2 linked regions of the Lonchura striata genome follow. The protein of the gene in region 1 purifies or fractionates together with the protein of each later gene. This does not show direct contact. Links are inferred from orthologs where the notes say so. Each region holds a gene or a part of one and is shown in the gene's direction. Other genes may lie near its edges.

What was found.
Region 2: the proteins of ENO1 (region 1) and TPI1 fractionate together in Homo sapiens (co-fractionation; 4 studies listed by BioGRID, with this or other methods). This does not show direct contact. The link is inferred for Lonchura striata from reciprocal best matches to the Homo sapiens genes ENO1 and TPI1.

What each region holds. Positions count from the first base shown.
Region 1 is NC_134626.1:1,236,819-1,253,332, reverse strand, and holds the start of ENO1 (alpha-enolase), read left to right. Parts: upstream 1-8,136; 5' UTR 8,137-8,239; intron 8,240-11,509; 5' UTR 11,510-11,518; coding exon 11,519-11,603; intron 11,604-12,903; coding exon 12,904-12,999; intron 13,000-15,155; coding exon 15,156-15,214; intron 15,215-15,835; coding exon 15,836-15,905; intron 15,906-16,079; coding exon 16,080-16,213; intron 16,214-16,362; coding exon 16,363-16,514. UniProt on the Homo sapiens protein: Glycolytic enzyme the catalyzes the conversion of 2-phosphoglycerate to phosphoenolpyruvate. In addition to glycolysis, involved in various processes such as growth control, hypoxia tolerance and allergic responses.
Region 2 is NC_134604.1:29,738,571-29,754,149, forward strand, and holds TPI1 (triosephosphate isomerase), read left to right. Parts: upstream 1-7,242; 5' UTR 7,243-7,329; coding exon 7,330-7,441; intron 7,442-8,086; coding exon 8,087-8,210; intron 8,211-8,285; coding exon 8,286-8,370; intron 8,371-8,496; coding exon 8,497-8,629; intron 8,630-8,738; coding exon 8,739-8,824; intron 8,825-8,950; coding exon 8,951-9,038; intron 9,039-9,306; coding exon 9,307-9,425; 3' UTR 9,426-9,876; downstream 9,877-15,579. Other genes in the region: USP5 (ubiquitin carboxyl-terminal hydrolase 5), read left to right, coding at 1,032-1,113, 1,333-1,458, 1,898-2,051, 2,436-2,610, 3,955-4,043, 4,239-4,430, 4,969-5,112, 5,266-5,411 and 3 more; LRRC23 (leucine-rich repeat-containing protein 23), read left to right, coding at 13,440-13,520, 13,595-13,707, 14,523-14,776, 14,860-14,990. UniProt on the Homo sapiens protein: Triosephosphate isomerase is an extremely efficient metabolic enzyme that catalyzes the interconversion between dihydroxyacetone phosphate (DHAP) and D-glyceraldehyde-3-phosphate (G3P) in glycolysis and gluconeogenesis.

The sequences.
Region 1 (16,514 bases):
AAATGGGAGTTGACAGCAAATTAATTTTTAATGGAGCTTTTGCAACATTTGTGACATTTCTCTTGACATCAGCAGGGGCTGTGGGTGCTCAGCACACCCAAAAGCCACATCTGTGTTAGCTCAAATTCTTGTCTTTAAGGTCCCTTCTAAGCCAAACCATTCTGTGATTCTATGAAGACACAGCAATCTGTGGAAAGGATTTACTAAGGGCACAAAGCATGAATTTGTTTTGGGGTTAGGACAGAACAATAATTTTAATTAAGTTCTTTAAATGAATTTGGATATTGAGCTTCTAACTAAGAGCTGAATGTTATGGAAGTCCTCCTGTAGAAAGTATTGCTCATGTCAACCAGTGGTTACTGGTTCTTGGAGCTTTTTTAGTGTATGTGGTATTAAACCTGGTTGTCCTGAGGCTTGTGTGGGTCAGCTCTTTTGCTACCTGGACATAATTTCTGGAGAGAAGAATGGACATAGTGCCTGGGAACTCCAGGCAGCACAGCAGAGGTGAGCTGGGGGTTCACAGGAGACTGGCACAGGACTCATCTCTGCACTGAGATTCAGCCAGTGAGAAAATCTGATGTCGTGTGTGCCAGCCATGAATATTCTTGGCATGAGTTATTTCCAGAGGCAGGGAACTTTCACACAGACCTCAGCCTTCCCCCTCCCACCTTGACTGCAGTGGGAAATAAGCCTTTTATCCCACATCGTTGGCTTCCATGCACTTCACTTTCATCTCTACAGTTTCCCCTGACTCTTTGCCATCTTTTAAATCCTGCTTCTCCCAGGCTATTCTCTCTGTCCTCACTGGCCTAAAGCTCAGCTCAAGCCTGACATTTTGAGTATTGGTGGCCACATTAAAACCTTGATATGGCATTGAAGTAGCTGGCTCAAACCTCAGTGCTCCTTTGACCCAGAACTTGAAAGGGTTAACTCCTCTGCCTCTGAATCAGCAGGAATTCCATCAGGGCTTGCAGTAAGGGCTGCATCACTCCAGCCCAGCAAACATTTGACCAGGAACAGGCTGTTTGAAGTGAGATGGACAGAGTGCCTTCAATCAGGCCATGCAGGTTTTTCTGAGTGAGTCTAAAACCTCTTCAAACAGAGCTCTCTCTGCTGAGGTTGTGCTGGATGAGTGAAGGCATCCAGAGCCTACACAAGTTTTATGAAAGGCAAAGATCAGCCAGTGCTGGCAGGCCCAGACCCATGAGGAAAGCTGACAATAGTTGTGCGGATTGAAACACGAGATTCTTTTATTCAACAATTCCTCTAATGTTTCTACATCTTATTTCCAAAACTGTCCCTCTTTTCTTTGATATTTTGCCCAGGCTCTTTTTTTTCTTCTTCCCTTTTTGCCCCTGGTTTTCAAGTACATACAGAGATCACAGAGGCAGAAAAGCACTGGAATTCATTTCTCCAGTTCACACAATCCCTTTAGACCTCCTTCATCTTATACAATATTTTGATGTATTTGACTAAATTTAATCATGGAATCAGAATGGTTTGGTTTGGAAGGGGCCTTAAAGAATATATCTAGTCCAACCCTCTGCCATGGGCAGGGACACCTTCTTACCTTCTTCTGATATAAATTCAGACACCTTTATGATTCTGCTGAAGCTTTGTGGAAGAAATGGGCTTTGAGGCAGTCAGAGACAGACACCAGACATCTACACCAGTGCTCCTAAAGGCAGGATTTGCCCATTTAAAAGCAGAGAGGTTTCCTCTGCGAATTCTATTTCATGGTCTAACAGATCTCAGCATTAGCTACCTGCACTTCATTGTCAACCTAAATTTTCTTTTGCTCAGTTTCAGCCAATTACTCTTAGTTATAGCTGTAACCCTTGGATTATCTTAAAATAGTTTTCCCTTTTTAATGTTCACATCACTTCTGGGGTGGTTATCACCTCACTGCACCACGGGCAGGAGCAGCCTTTCACTGCCATTTCCCCAAGGTGGAGAAAAGGACAATGTGATGCTATAAAAAGGAGAGAACATGGTCAAATAATCCCTCTTCATTTTCATTTCCAGGAAATGTCATTACAGCCCTTGTAATGTCTCTTTAGGGCTGCTCTACAGACTTTGCTGAAAGGGGATTTCACGTTCTGGATCTCTGCTTGAGACTTTGGAAGAAAGCAAAGCGTGAAGGCAGGATTAGGAAGGGGGAGGCCAAACTTGCCACTGCATTGTGTGTGAGGAGCACTGGGATGTGGTCTGAGTGTGGGGATCAAAGGAGCTGTATGAGAAAGAAACCTTGGATAAAGGTTTCCATCATCCCAGGGCTCTGAGCTGCGCACTGGATGGGACAGAGAAGAAATAACAGCCTGGGAGCATGTGCCAATACCTGTTCATGGTGCAATTAGTGCTTTGTAGGTATCTGCACTGCTCCCCTAAAAATGTTCCATTTGCTCCTCATCTCCCAGTGTTACAGCACGCAGGGGAAGCACAACTGCTGCTCCATCTCTCTGAACAGACATTAGCAGTGCACAAACAAAGGAGAAGACCCCAAGGCCCTTAACAAACAAACAAACAGTGCACAGAACAAGAAAAGGCTCTGGAAAGTGCTGCTGCTCATTGCTGGCTAAGCACTTTCCCTTTCTGCATTGTGTGTTGAGCAGCTGTGACATCCAGTGGCCAAACACAATACGGTTGGGTCTGGTACAGACCTCTTCATACGTGGTAACAATAACAGAGCCCTTCCATGGCACTTTTCATCTTCAAAAAGCTGTATAAGCACAAATTTGTTAACCCTGCACAGCTCACAGGGCACAGCAATGCAGCTATCCCAAAAGTCCACATAGGAGGGGACAGCACTCTCCAAAGGCATGGCAATCAGCTCTCCAGGCACGTGGAGAACCTGCTGCAGGACCAGAGTGCAGGACCTTCAGCCCCAAGGCAAGGAGCTGAGAGATAAGGGATCAGAAAGGTGCAGCTCATTCAGCACTTGATGAAGAGGCCACACCTGAGGGATGAGTTGTGCTTGTTTTCCCAAGAGCAAAAAAATCCAAGGAAAAAGAGGGGGAAAGATGGGGGAAGCTGAGAGATCCCAGCAGGACCAGAGCTGCTTTGGAAGAGATCCTTTGACAGAGGCCCGGCTTGAGGAAAAAGCTTCAGCAGAGATTTTCTGAAAACATCAGAGGACATTGCTGATAGATGTGGAAGGTAGGGAAGGCAGTCAGATGTGGATTTGGATTAAGAGATGCAGTGGTGGAATGGAAGAAATGTGACTACAAGCAGATACCACCTTGAACTTCCTTTCAGGCCCACGCAGCAAACCAGCCTTGAGAGAGATGCTGTGTTTTATGTCTGGGACATGCCTGCTCCTTTTGATGAACAAAGCAGACCTCACTGAGATGCATTCAGAGATCCAAACTGGGGACAGATGCACGCCATTTCGGTGACCAAGGGCCCAGTCCCTGCTTTCCCAAGGTCATCAGGGCCCAGTGTTTGCTCGCTCAGCTCTGCAGTGTTTTTTTCTGCAGGCAAGGTCATTGCAGGGACTTTCAGAAGGAGCAAAGTGCCCACAGTCCATCCTCGCCACTGCACTCTGAGGAGCTAAAAGTGATGATGGGAGCTGGAAGTGTTTCCCATGAGAATGAGGTTGATGTTTAAGGCAGGAAGACAACATGAAGGAAATTTAAATTCTCTGTCTGTGTTGTACCTGTTCTGTGGCAAGAGGATCCTGCTTGATAACTCTTGTGCTTTACATAACTATTTTGCACCCATTAAGGAAACAAATGAGTTGTTATTGGACTACTCTTTTTTTTTTCTTCGTGTTATCATTCAGAAAAAAAACCCAATCCTAAACACCAAATACAATTTCTTAATGGCAAATCAATTCCTAACTTGCTTTCCCCTTTATAGTGGAATACATTTCAAAGAGAGGGGGAAGGCCCTGCTCAGCAAGGAGCCTCAGACACTCTGTGAGAAGCAGTGCAGGACTTGCACTCTGGCCTCCATAAAGAGAATTACTGCATGGTTTCAGCATGGTTGCAACAAGCAGCTATGGCCTTTGGATCCAGAGTTCCTGGCAATTAATATCCAGCTGGTTCAGAAGCTTTCAGTCTCCTACAAATCACCGTATCGGATCATCAGCTCCTGGGAAATGTACTCTTTGGTATCAGTCCCCTGATTCATGCATTGGTTCCCTTCCAAATGACCATTCCCTGTGCCCTGAAGATGGATGTGGTAGTTGTAAATTTAAATTAGCATTTCCAGTAGTACAGAATATCCTGCCTGGTACCCGAGGGTCTCACACAGCCCTCGTGTACTCAGGGAGGCTGATGGTGGAGCCACACTACACAACTGCACACAGACCCACTCTAACCAGTATGGACCAACCAGCCCTCCACTAAAGCCCTGGAGAAGACAGGATGATGAAGACAGGAAGTTAAGAGCATTAAGAAAGCTGGAAGTGCTGGAAGGTAAGAGCATTAAGAAAGCCATGAGGTCTGTCACCTCCAGCCATTTCACTATTCATGCGCCTAAAGGTGCCTCGCTGCAGGGTGAAGCTGTGAGACAAAGGCATTGCAAAAAATGGGATGAAAAGTGGGGGAGAAGGATGTAAAGTCAGAGGAGGTTCTGAACGCCTGGAAGAAAACATCTCAAACAGTCATTCCACAATTTAATAGATACCCAGAAAGAGCGTTAGTCAGACTCTGCCATTACCTTTCCAATGAAGGGTCCGTAAAAACACCAGGATCTGCAGGGTGGATGAAGAGCAGAAATCTGAGTGACAGAGTGCTCACGTCTGCATCCAGTGGCTTCCCTCTGGAGGTCCCACCTGGACTGAAGCGAGTCGCAAAGCCTGGCTCCCTGAGATGCAGAGCTGCCCTGCCAAGGGAACCTGCTCAGAACACAAACAGGCTGGCACTTGCAGAGGTGTCGGATGCAGCGGGTGAGGGAGGTGCTCACGCAGCCACCCAGGCACATCTTCAGGTGTTGTGGGAGGCACTGGGGGGAGAGAGAAGTCCCTGAGCGTGCAGGAAGTGCTTCAAGGCTCTCTGAAAGCTCACGCCCTGGAATGTGCCCTGCTGCTGCTAATGGTTATTAGCACTTGAATGCATCGCAAACAAGTTCTGATCTGTGGTGGTTCTGCTCTGCCTTGGCACCCTCAGCTGCCTGAACCAGTGATTTCACACTCTGCAGAGCTCAGAAGGCTCCTGCCCAACTGCTCGAAACAGGGCAGGGAAAGGCTGGCCTGGCTGGCTTCTGTGCTCATCAGCGTGTTGCAAGCCACCAAAAAACTGACATTTATCACACTCCAATTTTCCCTGTAAAGCACAGGGAATGTGAGGCCTTGCAGCGGAGGGATTTTGCTCCTGAGAGTCGCTCTCTATTTCTGGGTGGTGGATGCCTGTGAGCCAGGTCTGTGCCAGTGGTTTTTCCCCCTGCTCCATCAGCAGTTCTGCTGTGTGAGTGTTCCTGTGTGGGCTGTTGAATGGGAGCACTGGCTTTATGTGTCCCCAAACTCTCTGTCCCCAGGGTCCACCCCATTAGCCATACAGGCCCCTTCCAAACCATGAAATACTTAAAGAGTATACTGAGTATTTGATACTGGTAACAAGCTTGGATTCCAAAAGAAATTTCTGCTTCCTAGAAATCTCATAGCCTTGGGGATGCTCTTTAAAGCAAGACAAAAAGAAAAATCAGGTAGGATACACAGCTGAGCAGCAGCACTTTTAATATCAGCTCTGAGTTTAATTTTAACACGTATGGCACAGTGCGAGTTTAAATCTGCTGATCCAGGAAAAAATTATACCAGCACCTGATCAGTGCCAGGCTCCTGGGTGCCTGGGCACTGCTGCCTGCAGCCCCGTGTCCCCAGCTGTACCTCCTCGGAGCCCTCAGCTCATTGCCCAGGCTCCAGACCAGGAAATCTGCTTTGTGCTGCCCCTGTGCCCACAAGGGAAGGAGGGAGAGGCAGGGGACAAGACCTAAACTCCTCCTGGCAAGTTCTGGGTTCTTTCTCACAAGGAGGGGTTTAGGTTGGTCTCCCACAGCCACTTCTCCCTCACAGCTTTGGTTTGGTTGAATGGGAATAGGGCAAGAGCTCAGTGCTCTGGGCAGGGGGTTCCTTTAAACCCCACTTCTGCCTCCCACCAGGCTAATTATGACCTTTCAGAAAACGTTTTGTCCCCAAAGAGCACCCTGCTGTACTTCAGCATCAGCCTTTGCTGGCTACTACAATATTTAATTTCCCTCAGCCTCAGGCTTTCTTGTGTTCCATTTTCTTTAGCTCATTATAAGATTTGACACCTCTGTGTGATTTTCCTGCATGGCAATAAAGGCACTTTTATAAAGTGCAAAGATAGTGAAGCATCTCTAATCCAGCAGTTAACCAGCATAAAAATGCAGCTTTAGGATTTCCAGCATCTGGAATGTGTTTTTACAGGGAATGTTCCCCTCTCATGCCCTCACACTGGGCAGGGTGAGGCTGCAGGATAAAGTGCTGCCAAGGACACAGCTCTAAGGGGTACAATGTGCAGTTTGGGGGGGCTGGCACTTCAAAGAATTATCTACCTGTGACAGCTTAATTCCAAGGGCTTTCCCTGCCCAGTGGTGCCTTATCTCAGCTGGGTACAACCTGATTCATGGCTGTGCAGCCACAGGGATGTGCAGGGAAGGCAAAAGCCCCACAGGCAGTGGGCATGGGGGACACGGGGCACTGTCACAAACCAGCCTGGCTGGCACAGGACTTCTCCCTCTGCAGAGGCTGCTGTCCCAGCGGGAAGGTCAATCCTGCAGACTTCCTCTGCTCTTTATTAGACTTTAAGCTTGTCCCGAGGGGATGTTCTCAGGAAGGAAAGAAAAATGTGCCCAGAAGGTACATCCGGCACAGGGCGAGGCAGGGCTGAAGCACCACGAACTTCACTGATCTGTGAGCAATAAAACAGCTTTGTTGGTGCAGTCAGGGTGAATTGGCACTGCCACATCCCCACAGATAGAACACGGAATGCTTTGGCTTGCTGGGACCTTAAAGCTCAACCATCCCAGCCCTGACACGGGCAGGGACAGCTTCCACTATCCCAGAACACTCAGGAAAGTTTGTGCTCCTGCTGGCACACTGGTGTGAGGTGTCACAGCCCAACTTTTCCACACTCGGGAAAATTTGTGCTCCTGCTGGCACACTGGTGTGAGGTGTCACAGCCCAACTTATTACATACTCAGAAAAGTTTGTGCTCCAGCTGGCACACTGGTGTGAGCTGTCACAGCCATCACGTTTAGTGCTCCTTCTCCCCTCCAGGAAGTGTGATGGTTACTCACTTCAAAATCAGAGTGAATATTTATTGTGCTTGTAATTAACCTTTTCCTGGAACACACACATCCGCTCCAGCCTTCCTCCTTCCAGGTTTACTCGTTATTCCCACACCGTCTCAGTCTCCTCAGACCACCCAGCCCCAGCCCTGCTGTCTCATCTCTCCTCATCAGGGAGATGCTCGACCCCAAATTCGTGGCCCCCATGGACCCTCTCCAGTATTCCTCGCCTTTCTTGCACTGCAGAGCCCAGAACTGGCCACAATTGTGAGGAAAGGCTGAGGGAACTGGGATTGTTCAGCCTAGAGAGAACCCTTGTCCTGGCCTTACAGCGCCTGAGGGGAGCTTAGAGAGATGGGGAGGGACTGCCCACAGGGCGAGCAGTGGCAGGACAAGGGGAATAGCTTCAAACTGACAGAGGGCAGCTTTAGTTTGGAGATTGGGAAGGAATTCCTTGTGAGGGTGGTGAGGCACAGGGCATCCATGGCACTCTGGATGGAGGATAACTCTGAAAGCCTCCAAGGCCAGGGTGGACGGGGCTCGCAGCAAGCTGGGGCAGTGTGAGATGTGGCTGCCCACGGCAGGGCTGCGGGACAGGCGGGTGTCCGGTGCCGGTGCCGGTGCCCAGCCGCGCCGCCCGTCCCTCACGCCATGCCCGCCTCACGGCTCCCCCCGCGCCCGCTCCGCATGGTCCCGCCCGCTCCCCCCGCCCGCATGCGCCGCGCCGGCCCCGCCCCTCGCGCGGGGATTTTCCACGAGGCCCCGGCCCGGCCGCACGTAGCGCACGCACGCGAGCCCGCCGCTGGCGCGAGGCGGCCGCGGCCAATCGGGACGCGGCGGGGGACGGCGCTGGCCAATGGGCGCGGCCGCGGGGCGGGCCCTGCGCGCGAGGCCGGCTATAGGCGGGTGCGCGCGGGGCCGTTGGGTCTCAGTCGGAGCCGGGGCGGCGACAGCGGCGGGGCTGCGGAGCGGGGCTGCCGGCACAGCGGTGAGTGCGGCGGCTCGCCCCGCGGGCCCGGAGGCCGCGCTTCCCTTCTCCGGAGAGGGAATCCGCTCCCCTCGGAGCGGCCGCGGAGCCCCGGCCGGGCCGAGGCTCGGTGGTCCCCGGGGGTGCAGGCTGCTGTGTGGCCCTGCAGCGCCGGCGGGGCAGGGAGGGCCTGCGGCGGCCTGAGCCCCGGCGGTGTGCGGGGGTGGGGGTTAAAAGCGGGGGGGATGCGGTGGGTCAAGGCGGGGGCAGAATCAGGGGGATGCGGTGGGTCAAGGCATCCTCAAAGACAGCGTTTAACCTCTTTCTTTTAATCATTAACAGTAGCTCTCGGATTGCGTGTGGTGATTTGGACCTTCCCCTCTTTAGTAGATGTCCTTTAGCTTCCCATCTCAAATATTTAACGTTTGCTAGCATCTGTGCCCGAGGTCTCTTAGCGGGTATTTAAGTGCTGGTTACCCCAGGGCAGCGTTGGTGGGGAGCAGCAGCTGGATGTGCAGGTGTGGATAAAGAGCTGCCTGTTAACCATCTTGCCTCGTGCAGGGCTGCCAGAGAGGACCCTGGGCTTTCTCCTGCTCCGTTACTTGCCTGCTGAGTCACAGGGTAGGGCCGTGGCTGTCTGAGCCGGCAGGAAGTACTGAAGTTTGTCATCCAAGCCCACAGGCTGAGCCAACGCACTTTCAGGCCTCCATCTTACTAAACGCAGAGAGAGAAAGTGGTTGAACGTGTCTGCATCCTTCAGAACCCGTTGGATCATGTTGTAGAGGTGGATTAATGCCCCGTGGAGTGGAGAGGAGCAGGGTTGGAATGTGCACATTTGTCCAGTTTCAGGGAGAGCTTTGGCAGGGGAATTAATACGTTGGGATCTCATAGAGTGCACTCAAAGGTCTCAGCTTTTTTCAGAGCACTGGTGGTATGAGAGTTACGGTCATAAGGACCTTTAAGTGTCAAGAGAGGCTTCCACTGATAAATGTGGCATGCCTGTAATAAGACACTCACTAGGGCAGTTATTTCTATGGCTAAACTTTAGTGTTGCTTTTTAAATCTCCATTCAGATGCTTGCAGTGCTCAGCCTTAACCCTGTATTGATTTTAGAGAAGTGTGGCTGCAAGATAGCTCACAAGGACAGATTTTGGTAGTAGGGTTGCCTATAAAACATCTTTGGAAATAATTTTCAATTGGAGTGATCTCTAGTTGAGAGTACTGCATTCCCTGTGCAGGGTCAGATGAGGAATACGTGGTGATTTCTTAGACTTGAGCTGTAGTGAAGAAGGTCCTCAGAGCTGGCAGGGGTTCTAGGTGCTCCTGGGCAGGCCAGGCCAGGAAAGCTGGAGTGTGTGGCTTCCCCTGAAGGGAGACAGTGACCTTGTCAGCAGATTATGCTGCAGGAAAAGGTTTAAGGCAGTGTGCTCGTTAAATACCACCGGGCTGTTTGCGTGTTTGGCACAGGACAAAGGTCTGAGCAGACAGTGCTGCTGTCCTCTCTGCCTTCAGTCAGCATTTCTGTGGTTAAACCTGTGCACACACGGGCTGACCCTTGTGTTCTGGATGAGTTGACTGATTTGATTGAGGCAGAATATATCGTGGTGAGCTAAACAGCATCAGTTTTACCCTATAGCTCAAAGGGAGAATTGTTTCTTGAACACAGGAGTGGAGAGTTTGCATAAGGAGCATCATGGATTTCTAGGGTAATGCAGTGCTGTGAAATGCCTCTTTCTGCAGGGAAGGGAGGGACTTGTGGTCCTTTGTCAGGGATGGAGTAATGTCTGACCTCACAGGCATTCCCAGTGGAAGTTCTTGCAGTGTGTGCTCCTGAAGTGCCTCCTTCATGAAGGTCAACAAACAGCTGTAGCACTGCACTGAGACGTCCTGGAAACTGGCTGTGCTTTCAAAGAATGAGCCACCTCAAATTCTGTAGCAAAGCCAAGGTTCTAAAAATGAAAGTAAGGTTTAGCAGGTGATAAACTCCGAAAGCCTTTTTGGATAAGTGGGCATTCTTCCTGTTAGCCATTGCTCGGTGCATCTGCAGAGAGCTAAGTGTGGGTGGGACTGATAAGCAGAGACTTGCAGGGATTTATTTCTAGCTTGTGTGTTCACTGACTGAAGCTAGGTAGTGGCAGCATGAAGGTCAGCTTGAAGAAGCTGTCTTGTTTCATATTTTAGTCAGATCATGTGTCAGTGTGGGGGTCTGACTGAAATCTTAGACAGCACGCAGGGGCAGGACAGCTGGAAGGGACAGGGAAAGCCAAAAGGGGGGAAGCAAAGGTTGCCTGTGCTTTTGACCTGGGGAGGGCAGAGTTTGCTGTGGGGGAGGAACAAGAGTGTGCAACTACCCCCTCACAGACTGTGAACCAGCAGCAGCATTTCTAAGGTCATGTTTTTTTAACTTTGCAGTAACTGTGGAAGGATTCATGACCATTTCTGTAAACAGGGTTGCCACCCACATTGGCTTGCCAAGAAACCAGCTTCCAGATAGTTGTGCTTCTGAGGCTGAGCTTTCTTCTGTGCAGATGGGCTGGGTTTGGTGCCAGTCGATGGCTTACAGGCATGTGTATGACTTGATTTTTAAAATGTGCCTGGGCTTACATAAGAATTCCCTGGCTGCACTTTTCTGAAGTGGATAAATGTAAGAAGGGAAAAAAGAAGTATCCAAAAGACTAGGGGGATTTTTTTTTTCCTTTTAAGATAAAAAGTTAAGAGGAAAAAATATTCCTGTAAATTCTCAACAGGGTGTAACTATTAATGCAAGTTTTTAATGAGCTGTGGCTTCTTCTCTTTGGTCATTGGTTCCGTTTGGCTCTGAGCAGGTGCTGTGCATACTAAGAGCACTCTGCATGCTGAGAGCTATTGCACCCTGGTCTCTTAGCAAAAAGAACTCTTGACAGATAGCAGAGTTGCTGTTTTGGGAGCTCTTTGCTGCTCTGACGTGGTGAGGTTCCTTTAGATTTGTCATTTGCTCCTGCAGCTGTGTCTGGGGTCTGATGATACTGCAGTTGAGGTCATTTGGAAACATCAAGAGATTGTCCCTTGCACATAAGGAAGTGATTTTGTTTTTTTAATAATAAAAGTCATGGGACACTGGAAGAGTTTGCCCAGAGAAGCTGTGGCTGCCCCATCCCTGAGAATGTTCCAGGCCAGGCTGCATGAGGCTCATCCAGCAGCCTGGTCTGGTGGAAAGTGTCACTGCTCATGGCAGGGTGTGGGATGGGTTGAGCTTTGTGGTCCCTTCCAACCCAAACCATTCAATGACTAATTCTAAGCTCCTTTTTTCAGGTACTAAAGATGTCTATCACCAAGATCCATGCCCGTGAAATCTTTGACTCCCGTGGCAACCCCACTGTTGAGGTAGACCTCTACACCAACAAAGGTGAGTCCTCAGCTGCAGCTGTTCATCCCTGGCTTAGAGCTGATAGAACCCCAGGCAGGCAGAAGCATAGAACCTGTCCTGTTCTAGCAGTGGAAGTGTGCTGACTTCTTCCTCCACACATAAAACTTGTTGGAACTTGCTGTGAGTCTTGCAGAAAAAGCCTCTGCCTCATTCTGTTGGATGAGTTTGCCGAGCTCGAGTTCCTGGCATGGACAGTGCAGGGTTTTTTGGAGGGTGCTGCTTCTTACAGCCTAAACTGTGGGAGAGCTGTTCCAAACCTGCCCTCCTTCCCTTGCCCCAGCATAAACTGGGATAGCACCTGGAAGCTCTGTTCTGGAGCAGCTGCTCATGGCCCTGGTTGTCAGTGCTCCCCACGATATGAGTACACTTGCAGTTTAATTCTTAATTTGTCTGCAGTGGCTTTCTCTAATGACAGAGTTTGCTGCTGCACAGTTGAATTTTTGGTAATGGTTTCTCCTCTGCCTAAGTACTCAGGCATGACTAAAGAACTTGTCTAATTGGGCTTTCACATGTAACATCTTATATTTTTAATTACTGTAGGACTTTCCCTTGGTTTGTTAGTTGTTCATCCCACATCTGATGGGATCTGACAAAAGCATTGTGCAACCTCATACCAATGTGATTTGGTGGAATGAGCAAACACAATGGCTGTAATACACTGACTAAAGAGCTGATCTTTCTGCCTCAAAAGATTAATACAGTCATTTAATGAGACTGCCTCCACTAAGCTCTTTGATTTAGTGGGATAAGGGAAAGACTGAAGGTTGAAGTTGGCATCCTGAACCCCAGAGCAGGCTCCAGTGTGCAAATTTGCTCCAAGTTCAGCATCCTTGGCTGAAGGAATGGGCTGGCTGAGTGGCTCTGCTGTTGTCAGAAGAGCTCAGGACTCCTGTTAGCAAAATAGGTCTCCTAATTGTCCCTTTTCTGCCATATCCTAGAAGAACTTAGGAGCTTGCCTTGCCTGAGCTCAAAGGCAGATGCAGTGAATTCAGCTATCCTTTCTGGAAGGGGGATGGATGCCTTCCTTAACTCTTGAAATGCATAGTGGAGGAGGAGTCAGGTTGCTGTTGATCAGCGTGAGGGAGATGCTGATAAATTGGTGATGCTGTAAATGAGCAGAAAGCCCTTGTGGGATCAGTGTGTATGTGAGCAGAGGTGTGGTTTGGAGACTCCCTCTCGCAGCTGCAGGGCTGGAAGTGTGTGACAGGCTGGGATGGTGTCTGGCTGGGGATGTTTAGTGGTTCGAGTGTGCCAAGGTGTTTTTTCCTGTTGTGAACAGGTCTGTTCAGAGCTGCTGTTCCCAGTGGTGCCTCAACTGGAATCTATGAGGCCCTGGAGCTCCGTGACAATGACAAGACACGCTACATGGGCAAAGGTAAAGCTGGTCCCTGTCACTGCTGGGCTCCTGTCCTGCTGTCTGTGCTGGCAGCTGGGCAGAGGGGACAGGCAGGGAGTGGCAGCAGCGTGGGCTGTGAGCTGGCCACAGGCAGAGCAGAGTGGCTGGGTTGCTTTCCTGGCCATAACCTGGAGGGTGGCTGCCTCCAGCAGTGCAGCTGCGTCGTGCTGCAGGGCAGGGCAGCTGCACGGGTGGGTGTGTGGAGCTGGGCACGCCCAGCCGGGTGATAATGTCTGGTACAGTGTGTCCAGCTGTACTTTGTTACCCCCTCCTCTTGCACTGTGTGTGGAAGTGTGGCAGAGTGCTTTGCCAGTGCTGTAAGGGCATCTAAACTGCCAGCTCCAACAGCCTCAGTCATCCTGCAGTTAGTCACAAGGTCTTTTCATAGCCCGAATTTTCCCAGAGCCCTTAAATCTGTCAGCTCTGAGACTGCAGACTCCTTAGATCCCAGCTTGTTCAGTCCTGAACCTGGGGTTTCATGCCAGCTCTGTCCACTGTGGATGTGCAGCTCTGCACTGCTAGTCCTGGAAGGTGCCTCTATTTCAGACCTCACAGTGGCTTCAGTCACTCTGGCTTTTTGTCTGCCATTACAGGTAGCCAGGATACTTAAGTTTGTGTTGGTGGTGTAATATTTTACTTGTCTGGAGACTGGCTGTGGATTCTGAAAAGAACTAAACCCAGCAGTCACCAGGCTGGCTTGGGAACAAGTATGGGTGAGAAGGAATAGCTGCAAACAAGATGTCATTACCTAATAAACATCCCAGTAGTACTTCTTGTGATTATTCTGAGAGCTTGGACAGTCAGGGCTTCTTCTTAACTGGCTGCTCTAAAAGCACTGGTGATGCCTCTGAAGTGTGAGCAATCATCTTGACTTCTGGCTGGAAGAGAGAATTATTTTTGAACTTCCCTGCCAGGCAGGTGAAAAGAAGCTGAAATATTTTTTGCCTATTAGGAAAGAGCAATTAAAGTGGATAACTAAATTGAACTTGGAGAGCCTTGTCTTAGGAGATTCATGGCTGTTAATACCTTAACAGAGAATAAATGCCTGGATGACTGAATGTCCCAAAAAACCTGAGGCTCTTAATGCTCTTTACCCAGGGCACTTTTTCTTGCAAAGAGTAAATGTGTATTTACCCCTCTGTGCTAAATGTGTGTGCTTAGACCTGTTAAGTCTGATCCTATGGACAGTTCTTAATGACATTTAATTACACTGTAGTTAACAGGCTGTGGCTGAAGGGCTTTGTCAGCTGGGAAATAACATGAGTTATGAAAAAATAATCATCAAATGGAAGAGTTGCAGATAGCTGTTAGGCCTTTTGTAATAGAGGTCTGCAGACTTGGACCACTTGGAAAAGCAATTAGTATTGTTTAGGATGCAGTCAAATAGCATTCATCATTCTGAAGCTTAGGTTTTTGGAAGTCTTCAAACACTGCACAGTAAATAAAGTGATGCTACAGCAGTGTTACAAAATAGTGAACCTGTAACAGGTAGTGAAATGCCTGAGCTGTTGCATGAGTAACTTCTAGAGAAACCTTTTCCCTCCCCTCACTCCTGGGTTCTCTGAGTTGGCAGGGGAGCCCATCCTAAAACCTTCCTGAAAAGCTGTGGTTCAGGCCCTTGAGGTTTGTGATGGCAGAGTTGGAGAGCTGGGTGGAGAGCCCACACAGAGCCTTGCACAGCTTCCTCTGCTCTTTGAGCCCTTTGTCTCTAGTGCTCAGTGCCAGCCTGGTGCCTCTGTGTCCTCTGCTGCATTCCTGTGGGGTTGGCTGCGAGTTGTCACCTGCGCCTTGACTCCATTTTGCTTCTGTCAGGTGTCTCCAGAGCTGTTAAATATGTTAACGAGTTCCTGGCCACGGCCCTGTGCACACAGGTAATGGATGTGCAGCCCTGGCACTCGGATGAGTCTCTCCAGTGCATGGCCTGGCAGACTAACCTGGCATTCCTGGACCAGTCCTAGCCAATGCATCCTTCATGTGCCTCCCAGTCCAGCCAGGGGCCTCTGTGTTCTCACCTGGCCATAGGCTCAGCTTGGACTGGGGCTGGGGTAGCATGAGGTGGTTTTCCTGGATGTTCCCCTACTAATCCCTGCATAACCTGTGTGTTGACCTGTGTCTGATTTGCTTGTTCCTTCCAGGTGTCTCAAAAGCTGTTGAGCACGTCAATAAAACGATTGCACCTGCACTGATTAGCAAGGTAGGAGCAATCTGTCTTCTCTTAACATCTCCTACAGCCAGGCAGTGTCCAAACCATCCTCTGGTGGGGTGTCACCTGGGGGGTGTAAGCCTGTGTGTTGGAGTGCATGTGAACAAACTGACCACAGCAATGGTTTTACTTAATTTACTTAATGAGTGCACATCTAACATGTAATGAAGCCTTCTCCAGCAACCTGGTGTTGTAGTGTGCAGAAACTCTTCATCCCCTGGGAGCTGCAGTGGTGCAGCTAGGATACAAGCTGATTTATGCTTCGAAGAGTGGCTGAATGAGAGGAGGGGCTAGGTTTTATCCAAACAGGGTGACTTGAAGAGAGTCTGAGAGGATCTAGAAAAGTCTGCTTGAATGAGATTCCTTTGTGCTTTGTGGGCACCAAGCCTGGCCTACAAAGACTGGTGCAGACCTAAGTGATGGCACACCCAGCTCAGCTGTCAGCCCCGGGCTGCTGCTGTGTGATAGTGACAGGAATTGGTCTGCTCAGCTCTTGATGGCTGCCCTTGAGCAAGTGTTGGTGCCTGCCAGGGGTGTCAGTGCCATGGTGGGTGGGTGAGGGTTTGTGGGCCTGTGCTTGGTGTCAAACATTTTGTTTGCTTCCCTCTGCAGAATGTGAACGTGGTGGAACAAGAAAAGATTGACAAGCTGATGCTGGAAATGGATGGGACAGAGAACAAATGTGAGTGGGCTTTGTGTTGCACTGAGGGATGAAAAGATAAAGATGGGTCAATAGAATTCTATTTACCAGAACCAATAGCCAGTGCATGGCCATGTGCTGTGCACTGCCATAATTCAAACCTTGTGAGTCTCTTTTTATAAAGACACTTCTCTAATCAATTTCTTCCCATTTCAGCCAAATTTGGTGCTAATGCCATCCTGGGTGTGTCTCTGGCTGTGTGCAAAGCTGGTGCTGCTGAGAAGGGTGTTCCCCTGTACCGACACATCGCTGACCTTGCTGGAAATCCAGAGGTCATTCTCCCAGTTCCCGTAAGTGCCTGGGTGGGGCAGGCTAGGCCTTGGTTTGACTTTAGCCTGGTGCTCTTGGATCAGGCTCTGGAGTACAAGGAGTGTGATGTAAGGGCTGTGACCACGTTCCCCTGACATGTTCCAACCTGGCTTTTCCTGGTTCCTCCAAGGCTTTCAACGTCATCAACGGGGGCTCCCACGCTGGCAACAAGCTGGCCATGCAGGAGTTCATGATCCTGCCCGTGGGGGCAGAGAGCTTCAAGGATGCCATGCGTGTCGGGGCAGAGGTCTACCACAACCTCAAGAACGTCATCAAGGAAAA
Region 2 (15,579 bases), on another chromosome or scaffold:
TGGAGAGGACAGAGTGCACCCTGTGTTCATGAGAGGCTCTGAAATGTATTATGCATGTTAAACTGGGGGGTTTTCTGGGAGACAGCTTCTGTCTGCATAACAGATAAAAAGGGCTTGCTGTCTTCAATGGAGGGAGATTATAAAGGGGATACATAGGTTTAGGCAGCTTTATTCTCAGTGGATAACTTATGTATGCTTAAAGAGGCTTCCCTCCAGTGTGGAGAATATGCAGAAGGAGGAACACAAGATTTGGGAGGGAGTTGCATGTTACGTATGTAATGTTTGTGCTGCAGCTGCTTTCAAACAAGCATGTGGAAGTTTGGGTGGGGAGGAATGGAAGGTAGCATTTGTGGACAAGGAGTTCAGTACAGAAGGATTCTAAATTTGGGCAGCCTGGAGTGAGGTGTTCACTGAGAGGGGATTAAGGTGAAAGAAAGATGATTGCCTGGGCAAAGGGTTTGGTAAGGTTTGGTTCCAGACAAATGGGAAGATGGCAGTAATGATGGGGAAGGACTGGAGTGAAATGTAATAGCAGAAGGGTCAGAGCATAGGAGTAAATCACTGAACACATACTGTTGTCCATTAAGTGCCTGATGCAGTCAATCTTTCCTGTGGGAAAACGTGATCAGTGTGCTCACAGCAGTGCTATTTCTGGCTCAGACAATTTCTCTGTGCCCGGTTGTCTCCTGCACAGTCAGACACTGCTCCATTCCCCCATCAGGCTGCAGCTCAGCTTGGCTGCTGCACAGCTGCCGTGTGGCTCAGCACCAGCTGTTCCTTCGTGTTCTAGTCAGTGTGCAAGCAGTGGTTGAGATTGGCACCCTAAAGCCCTGGTGACTTTGAAGTCAATGATGTCTCCAGGAGCCAGAGAGCAGACCACGATAAGATAATCTTGCCTGGTGCAGCAGAAAAAGCTGTTATCTGTGAGACTGACAGCCCATGGCAGTGTTAAATCTGGATGGGTTGATGTGGCTCCTGGAGCATGTGAGATTGAAGAAACATTGATGTTAACAGTGACTTTGTCATTCCAGAGCCAAACTTGGCCATGGACTGCTTTCTGGGGAGTATTCAAGGCCAGCTTCTGCAGATGGGGAACAACAGCCTGATCAGAAGGTGAGGCTTGGGTATGGCATCCTTTTGATGCATGTATTGCATGAGGTACTGTGTGTGCTACATGGCAAAGGAGGGAGAACCCTTTCTGAAGACATGTGCTGGGGCTTGTTGCAAGGCCTGTCACCTGAAGAAAAGCATGTCTAAGAATAGAGAGCTACCTGCCAGGACACATGCTTGGCAAATTATGACCACCTTCCTCTTCCACATTGTTCTTTGCAGGGTATGCAAAATGGCATTGCTCCACGCATGTTTAAGTCCCTCATTGGAAAGGGGCACCCAGAATTTTCCACTAACAGACAGCAAGATGCCCAGGAATTCTTTCTGCACTTCATCAACATGGTGGAGGTAATGGTTGAGTCTAACTGACAAATCACAGATAAGTCCAGCTTGATTTTCTTCATACAGCAAGGGGTGAGGAGTGGAGGTGAGAAGCTGGCAGTTGGAGCAGAGAGAGGGAAAGAACACAGGGAAATGGGCCATCTAGCACCTGCCAGGGTGGAGAAGGAGAGGTGCTTGGCCATGTTTTCAGAGCTGATTCCATGGAGAAGTCTTTTTTGGGAGTGGCACAGCTGGAGGTGTAAAGTTTCTTCTGTAGGAGTAGGAATGCCATGGCTTCCTGGAGTACAGAAGCTGGCTTTAGTTTCCTCTTTGCTGTCTTTTCCAGGGTACTGGGTACAGAAGTGAATCCTCTTCAGCCACATGCTGTGTGACATCACTGTTATTGCAGATAATTTTTTCTGCTATTCTGCTGTTACATCTGTCCTTCTAATTTCTCCTTCCTCAGAGGAACTGCCGCAGCTCGGAGAACCCTAACGAGGTCTTCCGTTTTCTGGTGGAGGAGAAGCTGAAGTGCCTGGCCACAGAAAAGGTGAAATACACCCAGCGTGTGGACTATATTATGCAGCTGCCTGTGCCCATGGATGCTGCACTCAACAAAGGTCAGTAATGTGCCTACACCAGAACAGTAGCAAGCCCTGTGTTTCTATATTATACTATTCTTACAGAGCTCCTTAAATGAGAAAGGGACTTCTTTGCCACTTCTGAGGCCAGGTCCTTCTCCTGCTTTTGTGGGATTGGGCTGATTCTTCAAAGGTGGTGTGACACGGATGTCCCTCTAGAGCCTCTCCCTCGGCCACCACAAGCTGGGCTGTGACTCAGCAGCAAACGAGGAGTGACTGCAGTGGCAGAGCTGTGCTCTGGAAGCTGTGCTCCGTGCTTGATGGCGTGTATCTATAGGCCTGCTCTGCCTCTGGGTGTAGCTTGCAGCAGTCGCTTTGTAGGTACCTAGAGGTGTTCCTTGACTCCCCTGCTTTATTCTCTAGATGAACTGCTGGAATATGAGGAGAAGAAGAGGCAGGCAGAGGAGGAGAAGCAGCCTCTGCCTGAGCTGGTGCGAGCCAAGGTGCCTTTCAGCTCCTGCCTAGAGGCCTATGGAGCTCCAGAGCAGGTGGATGATTTCTGGAGCACAGCCTTGCAGGCCAAGTCTGTGGCTCTCAAGTAAGTGTGTGTCAGCTAAGCTGTGATGAACTGGCCATAGCTGCTTCTCTGGGGACTTGTAGTGGCTTGGGGGAAGAACCATTATTGAAGCTTTGTAGTCCTCCACACCCTGGGCCCATAGAACATTGAAGCAGAGAGGGGATCAGTCCATCAGTGCTGGAGTGGTTACCCTCAGTAGGCAGAGCGGCAGTGCTAGTGGAGTCCAATTACAAACTCCCGCACTAGTCATCAGATTTCTCAGTTGCTGAGGGGCTATGAAAACACAGTGATATTTCAGAAAACTAGTAGTTGTTACTGTAAATTTAAAATTTATCTTTGAAATCTGCACTGACTGTATGATGACAATGATCTTACACTATGTCTAAAATTCCTTCAAGTTTTAAGCTGTGAAGATTTGAGCAGAACACTGAGTGTAACAGATGCATGAGTTCTTTGAAAGAATGCTAGTTTAAATGCTAGTAGCAAGGTTTAAAAACCAGATATAATTTTTCTCACTGCTTGTAGCACATGCAACAGTGCAAAGTTGAAGTGACAAAATTACAAATGTAAGCAGCTTTCTGCTGTGATGCTGAGTATTCTTTTGCAATGAAAGTCATGAAAGAGTTGGAAGGGCTTTTCTATACTCCATTATTAATGGATTAATTAATTAAATTATTAAATTCTCTACTATTAAGCAATAGCTACTATAAACAAATAACACATTGAAAAGTAACATTTTGTTTTAATTTTTACTGAGTTGTATTCAAACACTTTACTGTCACTTGATTTAGTTCTACAGCATCTTGCAATTATCACCTGGTAATGAGTATCTGTCTCACTTAGAAGTGCTTCTCCCTTCACAAACATTCCCGTCTGTTTCATAGCTTCCAGACACTTTCTCTCTCAAATTGTCTAACTAAAAAATGTTTTATTGAATTTGGTTAACTTAAAATTCACTGCTTCTGTTTCATATCCAAAAAAGCGCTCTTATGCTTGAAAGCTTGACAGTTCCTGCATGTTCTGTTGCTCTAATAAAAGATGTTATTTCCACTACATTCCTTAAGAGTTAGACTTCCAATTAAACAAAATCTGACCAGGTTTGTAAAATACAGGATTGGAAGGTAGAGCATATGTACAATTTTTTCTCATCTCCAAGATTTGCATTCCATCTCATCAGGGCTTCTGTCTTAGAAATAGTTCTGTGTTTGAGGAGCTTTAAGCTCAGTATAGAAGAACTGCACAGACAGGTGTGTCCCCCAACTTGCTCAGGACATGGTTCTGTCCTGCTCACTGATTTATTGGATCAGCTAGATACCCTTAGTCTTTGCTGACCAGGTATTTAAAAATATTACGTGTCTCTTTCAGAACAACACGGTTCGCCTCTTTCCCAGACTATCTGGTCATCCAGATCAAGAAGTTCACCTTTGGTCTGGACTGGGTGCCCAAAAAACTCGGTAAGGAGGATGAGAAGTACAGAGCATATAGGTACTGGGAGTCACATATGGATATTGTGGTCACTGCTGCCAGGAGGAAAGTGACTATCCCAAAAGTTGCTGCAGGCATCCCCAGGGACTTACCCTTCTAGATCTCCCAGCTGAGTCCTTTGCTTCTGCCCCTACGTGGAGGCTGAGCAAGACCATATCTTGCAGATGTTTCCATTGAAATGCCAGAGGAGCTGGATATCTCTGCACTGCAGGGAACGGGGCTGCAGGAAGGAGAGGAAGAAATGCCAGACATCGCACCCCCACTGGTGACACCAGATGAGCCCAAAGGTAGCCTGGGGTTCTATGGCAACGAGGACGACGACTCCTTCTGCTCCCCTCACTTCTCCTCTCCAACATGTTAGTGATTCTCCTCCTCTCTTCCTGATGCCTGACTCATTTCCTTGCTCTCCTTGCCTTGTGTCCCATGCTAGCAGTTTCCCACTTGCTCAGACTTTCCCTGTCCTTTTGTCAGCGATTGCCAGCTGCCTCCCTTGCATGCCTGTTATGCAAGGGTGTTATGCAAGGGGGTTTATTGATTCCTGTTCTGTGCAAGATGGGGTGGCGTGTCTGGTGCATTTAGAGGAGACAGAGCTGGGATTTATACAGCATTTAATTGGTAGGGGTATTTAATTTTTACAAACCACAGTGGGAGGTTGGGTTCAGAGCCTAGGGAAGAGCCAGTGCTCCTGAGTTCATGGGTTGAATCATTTTGTTCTTTGCCTGTGTGTGAGACTGCTCTTCTGAAGAAGAAAGGTGGCTGAGAAAAGCCATGAGATGGAAGGTGGTGTGAAATAAAGCTAGGAAGTGGTGGCTTTGGAGGCTGTGTGACATGAGACAAAATGGAGCCAGCAGGGATGGGTGGGAGTGGGTGGCTCTAACTTCTGTCTCCCCACAGCACCCATGCTGGATGAGTCGGTGATTATCCAGCTAGTGGAAATGGGCTTTCCCATGGATGCCTGCCGCAAAGCCGTGTATTACACAGGGAACAGTGGGGTTGAGGCGGCCATGAACTGGGTCATGTCACATATGGACGATCCAGGTATGAGGCCATGGGCATGGTGAAGCTTTCTGCTGCTTCTGGGCTGTTCTTGTGTCCTACTACCACAGTGGAAAACTGAAGTAGTTTGGACTTGGGCTGTACCCTCTTGGAGAGATCTGATTACTCGGAGCTGTGTTGTGTTTCCTGCTGCAGACTTTGCTAACCCATTAGTTCTCCCTGGATCCAGTGGGCCAGGGTCAACTATTGCCTGCCCAGACCCTCCTTCGGAAGACAGCGTGGCCACCATTGTCTCCATGGGCTTCTCCCGGGACCAGGCAATGAAAGCGCTTAGAGCCACGGTGAGAGGCATGGGTGACATCAGAGTGCAAGGATTTTCTCAGGAACAGGAATTCTCAAGTTCACTGTCGTCTTCTTCCTTCCAGAACAACAGTCTGGAGCGTGCTGTGGATTGGATCTTCAGTCACATCGATGACCTCGATGCAGAAGCTGCTATGGATATCTCAGAGGGGCGCTCGGCAGCCGAGTCCATCTCTGAATCCATCCCTGTGGGTCCCAAAGTCCGCGATGGGCCTGGAAGTGAGTTCCAAGCCATAGGAATGTGGATTTTGGGGTGCAAATTCAACATTGCTTTGTCATTCCTGATCCATGCAGTACTGCAGGTTTTAGCAGCAGCAGCTACTGCAGAGCTGGTCTGGTTGTAGAGGTGGAAGCAGGGAGGAGGAGGGAAGGTATGGCAAAGTAGTCTAGATCCTTCAGGCTGGATGAGTGTTAACCTGGAAGCCAATAAGAGAGAGGTTGGGGAAGGGCCATGAAGAGAAAGGAAGGGCTGTGCTGCTTTTGTCCAGTGGTTCTAGGAGGCTTTTTTTGCTCTCTTGGTTCCCACTGAAAAAAAGTAGTTCTGGTTTGTGCACAGAATTTGTGCCAGTGGTGCTTGGCTCCTGGGTGCCATAGGGAGGCAAAATCCCTGCCTTACCCATCCAGGAGCCATGGCCCAAATAGAAAGTTGGAAGAGACAAGTCTAAATGGAAGTCAGCATCTCCCATTTCCCTCTATGTCTGGCCTTAAGACCACTGACAGTCACACTTGACGGGGGATCCAGTTCTAAATTATTACCCAGCAGAGCCTCCTTCAGGGATCCTTCTCTAGAGAGGGCCTTGCAGAGGATGTTAGGGTGTAAGACATCTTTCCCTGACAATCCTCTCTTCCCTCCTTCTTTCAAGAATATCAGCTGTTTGCCTTCATCAGCCACATGGGCACTTCAACTATGTGTGGACATTATGTTTGTCACATCAAGAAAGATGGCAGGTAAGGATTTCCACAGTGTAAGGGAACTGAGGTACTGGTTTTAAATCCCCAGCCTGCCCTGTTTCTTCAGAAGTCTTGGGGGGTTGGGACTGAGAGCAGGCAATCGAGTTGTGTCTTAACCACGAATGGCATTCCTGAGCTCCTCTTACTCCTGTTGCAGGTGGGTGATCTACAACGACCAGAAAGTCTGTGCTTCTGAGAAGCCCCCCAAGGACCTGGGCTACATCTACTTCTATCAGCGGATTCCCAGCTAGAACATCCTCTTGCTGTGTGTGGTGGGGGGAAAGTGGGCTGAAGCTGTCGGGGGGGGAAAGGGGTGGGGGCAGTGAGGGTGGGAGCAGGGTCCTTCTCTTCTCTGCTGCTTTCCCCGGTCCCTTCACGGCCTCTCTGTGGAGACACGGGGATACAAGAGTTCACTGACTGATCGACTGGGGGCTGGAGCCCCCGTGGACATGAGTGAAGGGGGTTTGGGGGGTTGGGAATATCTGTTTCTGTAGGAAATGTCCTCACTGTCCCCACCCCCGTGCCACACAGCCCTAGTGCTTCGCTGCTTGGTGGGATGATGCCACCTCCTTGCTGTCCGGAAGGAGAGGAGGGGGCTCGTGTGTACGTGTGGCTTGTGAATGGGGGGGGTTCCTCCTGCCCGCCCTGTCGGGCGGGGGCGTGGGGCGGGCAGCAAGGCGGGCCACGGGCAGCGCTTCCCCTTGTGTGCCCTTGAGATGCCAAAATACACGAGGGACAAAATAAAAGCCGAAATTCCCCCCTGGCTCCTGTCTGAGCCCGCCTGGCCGCGGGAGCGCGCGGGCGGGGCGGGGCGGGGCGGGCCCGCGCGGGGCGGGGTGGGCGGGGCCTCGGCCGCCGCCGGGCTATAAAAGGGCGCCGGTCTCCGCGCCGCCGCCGCTGACCTTCGCGTCTCCTCCGCCGCCGGCCCCGCTCCCGCTCCCTCCCGCCATGGCGCCCAGGAAGTTCTTCGTGGGGGGCAATTGGAAGATGAACGGCGACAAGAAGAGCCTGGGCGAGCTCATCCACACGCTGAATAGCGCCAAGCTCTCCGCCGACACCGGTGAGGGCGCGGCCCGCACGTAGCGCACGTCCCACACGGCCCTGCGGAGCCGGGGACCGGGCCCGGGCCCGGGCGGGGGAGCGCCAAATGTCAGAGGGCGGCGGGGCCTAAATATAACCCCGCGGCTAAATATACTCGCGAAACCGGATCCGGGCTGCTGCGGGCCCGGCCGCCACGTGCGGCCGACCCCCGGGGACCCCGCGCGGCGGGCCCGGGCCTCCCCTCGGCCTGGCCCCCGCGCCCTGCGAGCGGCGGTCTCGCAGCACCGAGCTGCGCTGCGCCCGCCCCGCCGCCGCGCCCGGCTATACCCCCAGGCGCAGCCCGGTTCGGCCAGGCCAGGCTGCAGGGTGGGATTCTCACGCGATCGTTCATTTGGGCACTTCCCAAGGGACCCCTGTGAGCTGGCCGTCGGGCTGGTGTCGCCTGTCCAGCCCCCTAGAAAAGGCTTTCCTCCCTGCTGTTGAGTAATCGGATAGCGGGGATTGCCCTGTGGCAGAGGGGCCACCAAATGTCAGTGAGGAGGGGCAGGCTGTGCCTTCCCAGGAGAGAGGGATGACCCCTTGGGGCTGGGATTTGGGATCAGTGGCTGGGTACAGTTTCTGCCCTTTTCCTGTCACAAGGGTTACAAGGTGCTTTGCCTTGCAGAGGTGGTTTGTGGAGCCCCTGCCATCTACCTAGACTTTGCCCGTCAGAAGCTCGATGCAAAGATTGGCGTGGCAGCACAGAACTGTTATAAAGTACCAAAAGGAGCTTTCACAGGAGAGATCAGGTGAGCCCAGAGAATAAAGTTAGGGTGCCTCTGGGATGTGAACTTCCTCCAGTGAGTCATCTCCTTTCTCCCCAGCCCAGCAATGATCAAGGATATTGGAGCTGCATGGGTGATCCTCGGCCACTCAGAGCGAAGGCATGTTTTTGGAGAGTCTGATGAGGTGAGTGGCCTCATAGAATGGAGACATGGTCCAGTTACAATGGGTCTGCAAAGACTGAGAAAGTGAACAATTAAAACATACCTCCAACCTGTTTTATTGGCTGCCTTGTTTCTTTTCCGTTCCCAGCTGATTGGACAGAAGGTGGCTCATGCTCTGGCTGAGGGCCTTGGAGTCATTGCCTGTATTGGAGAGAAGCTGGATGAGCGAGAAGCTGGCATAACAGAGAAAGTGGTTTTTGAACAGACCAAGGCTATTGCTGGTAAGAGGAAAATGAAATGGTTGATTTGGTTTTTTTTTTAGCCATTTTCCAGCTCTGCTCTTCCCAGTATGGGGGTATTGTGCTTACCTCTACCTTCTCTCCTCCCTAGATAATGTGAAGGACTGGAGTAAAGTGGTTCTTGCCTATGAGCCAGTTTGGGCTATTGGAACTGGTAAAACTGCAACTCCCCAACAGGTATGAGCATGGGAGGTGCTGCTTAAAGGACCAACTGACCCTTCCCCCTCAGGAAACCTTGTCTTTGGAAGGGAACTGTGTGCAGAATGGCTCATGCCTCAGTGTGACTCCTGCGTTGTGTTGCAGGCTCAGGAAGTTCATGAGAAGCTGCGGGGGTGGCTGAAAAGCCACGTGTCTGATGCTGTTGCTCAGTCAACTAGGATTATCTATGGAGGTGAGTCTGGAGCGACTTTCCAGGGCAGGAAGTGCTTCATTTCTCTACCTGTTGCTGCAGTTGTACATAATTTCTTCCTGGCAAGGAAACTCTTGACTTTCAGGGCATAAAGAATCACCTTATAGCTTATTTGGGTAGCTTGCTTGGATAAATGGGAGAGTCTTGCTGTCTGTAAGAAGTGGCTGGTACCTTGCCAGTCCTGCCTTTGCTCTGGCCCCATTTTCCTAGAGCTGGCGCATCTGACCTTAAAACACTGCTCCCTCCTTAGGTTCTGTCACTGGCAGCAACTGTAAGGAGCTGGCCTCTCAGCATGATGTGGATGGCTTCCTTGTTGGTGGAGCTTCTCTCAAGCCAGAGTTTGTGGATATTATCAATGCCAAACACTGAAGCACCCCATGAGGAGCTGTCCCTTGTGGTAAAGAAGTGGAAGCAAGAAGGGACCTTTTGTTGCACACATCTCAGTACGGAGGCCTCCCTTGAGGCTTTCCCCCTCCACAGTCATTGTTCTAGATGTTCTGCTAACCACCCCCACCACGTCAGAGTCCTGTCTGCAGGAGCCTGTCTCGGCAGAGTCTTGACAAGTCTCCACTCTGAGCTGAATCCTCAGTTTCCTGTTGACCTGTTCAGAGCTCACAGCCCACCTGGCCAGTATCTCTCCCTTTCCCTGCAGCCCTGCAGGGACAGGGAGCCGCTGGTGCTGCGGGGAGGAAAAAGGAACCACAGTCTCTTGCATCCTTCAGCTCCATCAGCAAGGAATCTCTCAGCTTAGACCCTTGTGAGATGTCTTACCTCACCTGTGTCCCGTACTGAACAATAAATGAAAAACAGAAAAAGCAAAGGTGTGTCCTGGATCTTACTTGGAAGCATCTCGGGGACAAGCAGCATAGAGAACTTACTGCTTTTTGAGGTGGCTGGTTGCAGAGAGGGTTTTGTGGGCTTTTCCCTGAGAGCCCACCATTACTCCAGTAGGCACTACATGGGTTCAACCTGCATCTTGCTTCTGGCATATAACAGCTCTTCTTTGGGCCTGTGGTGATTTTGTTATATCTGTGTATCTATTCCAGTAGCTGCTGGAGCACCTGGCTGTTCCACCAGTGAGCCAGTCTTCCCTGGCAGGCTCAGTAATGTGCTCATCCATGCTCTTTGCCTGTAAGCCTGGTAATTGACTTTGCTCACTCAATGTAGAGTGGAGCAGCTCAGTCTCTGCAGGGAAGGATTTTATTTAGGCCCTGTGTTGGGGCAGTACTTGCTGCTTGCTTTCAGCCATGTGCTGGTGGGTGAGAAAGCAAGACTTGATGTTACTTCCCAGCTAGCTGCTGGGGTTTTTTTGGTAGTACTGAGGGTGATGAAAAAAAAGTGCCTTACAAGGAGGAGCTTATTTGTGAGGCAGTACATCCTTGGGAGCCTATGGACAGTGTTCCAGCTGCTAGTGCTAGCATCACTTGAGGGATAAGGGGCCAAGAGCTGAGGAGCAGGGAGGAAAAAGCCTCTGGTGCTGGGGGCGGTCCTGCTGCCTAGCTGGATGGGAGGGATCTTCCTAGGATATCAGGTGGTCTGAGAAGGACGGGCTTGACAGCAGCAAGGAGATGGCAGCTCCCAGCTCTGTATGTGTGTGGAGTGAAATAGAAAGAAGGAGGATGGTTCAAAGACAAAAAAAAAAAAAAAAAAAAAAAAGGCAAACTGAAAACTATATAACCAGAGCACATGTTTCTGAGAGACTGCTGGGCCATGGCTGTAGGTTGGGGCTGTTGGGTCATACAGACCAGAGCAGCAATGTTGCAGCAGGGGCACACGGTGATCCTAAGGCTGCAGGGACTGGGTACAATCACTCAGGGCTGGGCCACCACCCGCTGCAGCTCTGCTATCTGCTCCTGTTCCTGCCCAGCCCTGCCCACAGTACAAGAGCCCAGGAGAGTGACCTACATAGAAGAAAACAGATGGGAGCTGGCATTGATCTTACTGCTTTGAGAGAATTCAGGGGCATGAAAACATTCATTTAATGAGGAATAAACTCATGGAAAATAATTTCTGTATCAGCAGGAGTGCCAGATCTTGTTTCTCTTTTTTTTTTGTCTGCTTCCTGGCAGGACTGCAGCTCTCTGGAGTGGAAATACTGCCAGATCCTCACAGCAAACTGTAGTGGTTGGATCTTAAACAGGTTGCTGTTGGAGAAAAATGCACTGTGCCAGATGTAACAGCCTGAGAGAGGCTGCAATGGCTCCGCATCCCCAGCCCCAAACAATAACCAGGCTGAGCCTGTATTCCCAGTAGGCACCACACACATGCTGGACTCAATGATCCTTGTGGGTATCCCTTTAAACTCAGAATATTCTGTGACTTTGAATATATTGTACTTAAACACAGCCATGGCTGGCCACACAGATCCATCCACACAGAGCACTCCCACACAGCACTGACAGCCTCATCCCACGCCCTGCTCCAGCTGAGCAGGACAGAAGTGCGCTAGTGAGCGTCTGTGTCCATCTGTGTATTTACAGAAGAATTTACACTCGTGTACAGCAGGTCTCCTTCCAGCAGCTGCCTCAGGCAGTGCCCAGGAGCTGCCCCTCACTCCCAACCTCTCCAGCCCCCAGCAGCAGCTCCCTGTGGTGTTCTGACCACGAGTTCCTCATGCAGGGCAAAGTGCAGAAGGAGTTTAATGAGAAGATCTGACAGGCTGCGCTGATCAGGTGCAGGACATGGACAAATCATCACAAACCATTTACACAGGACTGGCCCTTTTTATTCCTGTGTGCTGTATTTGTTTCTCTGTGACCTAGGTCACCCTGGCTCCTGCCCTAATCACTCCCTAACGAGTCCTGTGCAATCCCCAAATGCTCTTCCCCTGCGTCTCATCCTGTCCCACACCCCTGAAGACAGTGACACCCCCAATGTTAAAGGTGCTCTGGGGCTGAGGCTCCCCTGGGATGGCACTGGACAGGGTGTTCTTTTCTCTGAGTCCTTAATTTGGGTTTCCACCTGCCACTGTGCCCCTCGAAATGGGCCTTTACTGGGCTGATGGCTCCTGGGACGGGCCTGGAAGCAGCCTGGCAGGTGCTGCTTGGGCTCCCCCTCCTGCCATCACCGCCTGTGCTCCTGTGTGGGTGTGCAGGCCAGGTTTTAGTACATACCCTCCTTAATTGTTGGTATAATTAGGTTTGGGATATAGAATCTAAACAAAAATTTTCTAGTTTAAAGATTCGTGTTTCTGTAATTAGGGGATGTTTAGGGCAGGAGGCAAAGGCAGGAAAGGAAGTGTTCATATGCAGATTAATGCTTTACTCTGAGGGTGGTGAGGCACTGGAACAGGTTGCCCGGAGGAGTTGTGGCTGCCCCATCCTTGGAGGTGCTCAAGGCTGGGTTGCACAGAGCCCTCAGCAACCTGGTCTAGAGGGTGGCATCCCTGCCTGTGACAGAGGGATTGAGACGAGCGGATTTTTGAGGTTACTTCCAATCCGAACCAATCTGTGGTTGTGTGGTAATGAGCAGGGAGTGAACTCAGATTCACATTCACATGTGTAGCACAGGAGAAGGGGTCAGCACTGGGGAGTCTAGCAGGACAAGGCAGGACGCAGCTTGCTGTGCAGCCCGGAGTGCAGGGGTGCTTTGCAGGAAGGGCGATAGCTGATGGTTGTGTGAGCAGCTCTGCTTGAAGCAGCTTACCTAGCGCTAATGTTACCCAGGCACTGCAAAGGAGCAAAGTGCACTGAAGGGAAAGAGCCTTGGACTTTGTATGAACTGCACAACACTGCTGACCATCAGCTCTGAGCCGCATTCCTGGCTGGTAAACACCCGGTGCTGTTGGCATGGGCTGGGCACGGGCAGCCTCAACCCTTCCCAGCCCCGCAGCCTGGAGGACAGGGCTGGAGCAGTGCACCCCAAAAACCCCTTCCTGTCATCCACGTGCTCATAATCGGGAGGCTTCATGCAAAGCTCAAGACTAATTCTGCTCAACATGTTAATTAAACATTTACTAGAGGGTAAATTAAGCGTTAATTAGGCATTCACCGCCCGAGTGCCCACCACCCTGCCTGACTTCGAACGGGCCCCGTTTTGAGCTGGGCGCGCACAGAGATCCCTTCCCACAGGGGAAATCCTGCCGTTGTGTGGATAGGCGGCCAGCGGCAGATGTCGCCCAGGCGGCAGGCGGAGCGGGATCGAGCTCTCCGGGCCCGCGTTGCGGGCGGGACGCGCCCCGAGCTCTCCGGGCCCGCGGTGCGGGCGGGACGCGCCCCGAGCTCTCCGCGCCCGCGGTGCGGGCGGGACGCGCCCCGAGCTCTCCGGGCCCGCGGTGCGGGCGGGACGCGCCCCGAGCTCTCCGCGCCCGCGGCGCTGCGGGCGGCGGGCCCGCCCCCGTTCCCGGGGCAGCGGCCGCGCCCCGGCCAGCGCGGCCCGCCCGGCATGGAGGACGAGGAGCTGGAGGAGGAGGGGAAGGAGGAGCACGGGGAGGAGAAGGAGGAGGATGAGGAGAAGGAAGAAGAGGTGAGGAGGAGGCTTTCAGCACCGCCCGGCTGCGGCTGGGCCAGCGCTGGCCTTGTGCTCTCCTTGTCTCCCAGGAGCCGGTTCCCTGTCCCCTGACGGAGGAACACCTCAAGGAGGGCCTCTCTCTCCTCAGTAAGACCAGCAACGGGCTGGCCCACGCCTATGTGAAGTTTGAAGCCAAAGACAAGTGAGTGTGCAGTGCCTGACCCGGCAGAAGCCCTTTCCTTACTCCATGGCCATGGAGTGTTGTGCTGGACCGGCCGTGCGGGGTAGGAGCGTGTCCAGGCCCTGCTCTCCAGCCCCTGCATTCCAGTCTGGGCTTCAGCACAGCCTGTCCATCCTCAGCCCTGGGCACTGCCTCCAGACACACCTCTGGGAACACCAGTGTGTCCTAAGCCTGCCCATCGCTCTGGACTGCGCTCTCCTAGGGGGGCCTGCACAGAGTGACCTCCCTTACAGGCACTTTGAGAAATACCCATTCACATCTGGCCTCCTAATTGCTAACCTTCAAGACAGGCAGCTCTAAGTACTGTGCCACAACAGCCTTGGAACAGTTTGGAGCCTCAGCCTCCCCAGCACAGCCACCCAACTAAGGCCCCATTAAGACTGTTTCTTTCAGCAGCCCCATAGGGTATCTCAACCACTATTTTTTCCACTAGAAAAGTCCTTCCACTCAATCCTTTGTGTTGACACTATTGTCTAACAGACCCCTCCCCAAAACTTACCCATTTCTCTGCTCTGGTTGTGCCCTGTCCTGACAGATACAATTTAATTGGAATAAATACTCCCTCTGCCAAGAAAGCATGTCCAGTCTTACCATTCATCTTTGCTTACAGGCCTGTCCCTATCACCTGCCGTTTTCTTCCTTCTCTCAGCAGAGCTTTCTAGCAGCAGGGAAGTAGGAGAGGTGGTTGCCCTTCCTCCAGTAGTGGCAAGGAGAAATCCAAAAGATGGTAGTGGGGAAATATGAGAGATATTTTATTCACATTCACTCTCCCTCAGGGGCCTGACAGACATCAGCCTCCTCGAACGCTTCATTCACCTGCGGTATGTGGATTTGTCGAAGAACAAGCTGAAAGATTTGGCCCCACTGAGCAGCCTAACCCAGCTGCTTTGGCTGAAGGTGGATGAGAATCTGCTCACCAGTGCCAGCATGCAGGAGCTGCCCTACCTCCAAGTCATCAGCTTTGATCGCAACCGCATCATGGATTTTGAGGGCCTTACTCACCCCCTCCTAGCCAACCTCAGCCTGAAAGGTGATACGGTCTACCTGTCTTGTGGGGACACTCTCTTGGAAAGGTGGGATTAACTCCTTGTTTCTTCTTCCTCTGGCACTCAGAAAATAAAATCGAGACAGTGCAGGGCCTGAGTCACGACCAGTTGTTCAGCCTGGAGGTCCTGGAGCTTCGAGGAAACAAGATAAAGACCACAGCAGGGCTCGGCGTTTCCAAGCTCAAGAAGCTCTATCTGGTAAGGGATCAGCCATCCTGGGGAGTGGGACAGACAGAGCTGCTGCAGAGCCCAGCCCCTGCAGCCCAGATAGCACAAAGGGAGTGGCCATGAACCACAAATCACAGAGGAGTCGATGTTGGGGGCATCAGGTTCTTCCCTCACAGCCTCCTGCAGGAGGGCAGCTTTCCTTTCAGGCAGTGTTGGGCAAGCTTGTATTCCGTGTGCCCTGGGACCACTGGAGATCACTGGGCAAGCAACAGCTTTGTTCTTTGGGTGGCGAAGGGAAGAAATGCCTCTTTCTCCTCTCTGAGGCCCTAATCAAATACTGGTTTAAAGCCAGCACAATTATGTGATTTACACCTACACCCGCCAAAAAATAAATAGATTCAATATTGCAGTGAAACTAAGACAGGAGAAGCAGATTCTTAATATCATAAACAATTACTTCAAGGAAGCATTTACTCCTAGAGATGCAAGTGAAGAAAGTATGTATGGCTTAGCCCCATGGATCACACTGTGCTACAGCTTGCAAAGACTAAACAGATGTCTTGAGTCACTACCTCTTGAAAAGCAATTAAAGATGATAAAGGCTTTGAAAAACTATGTG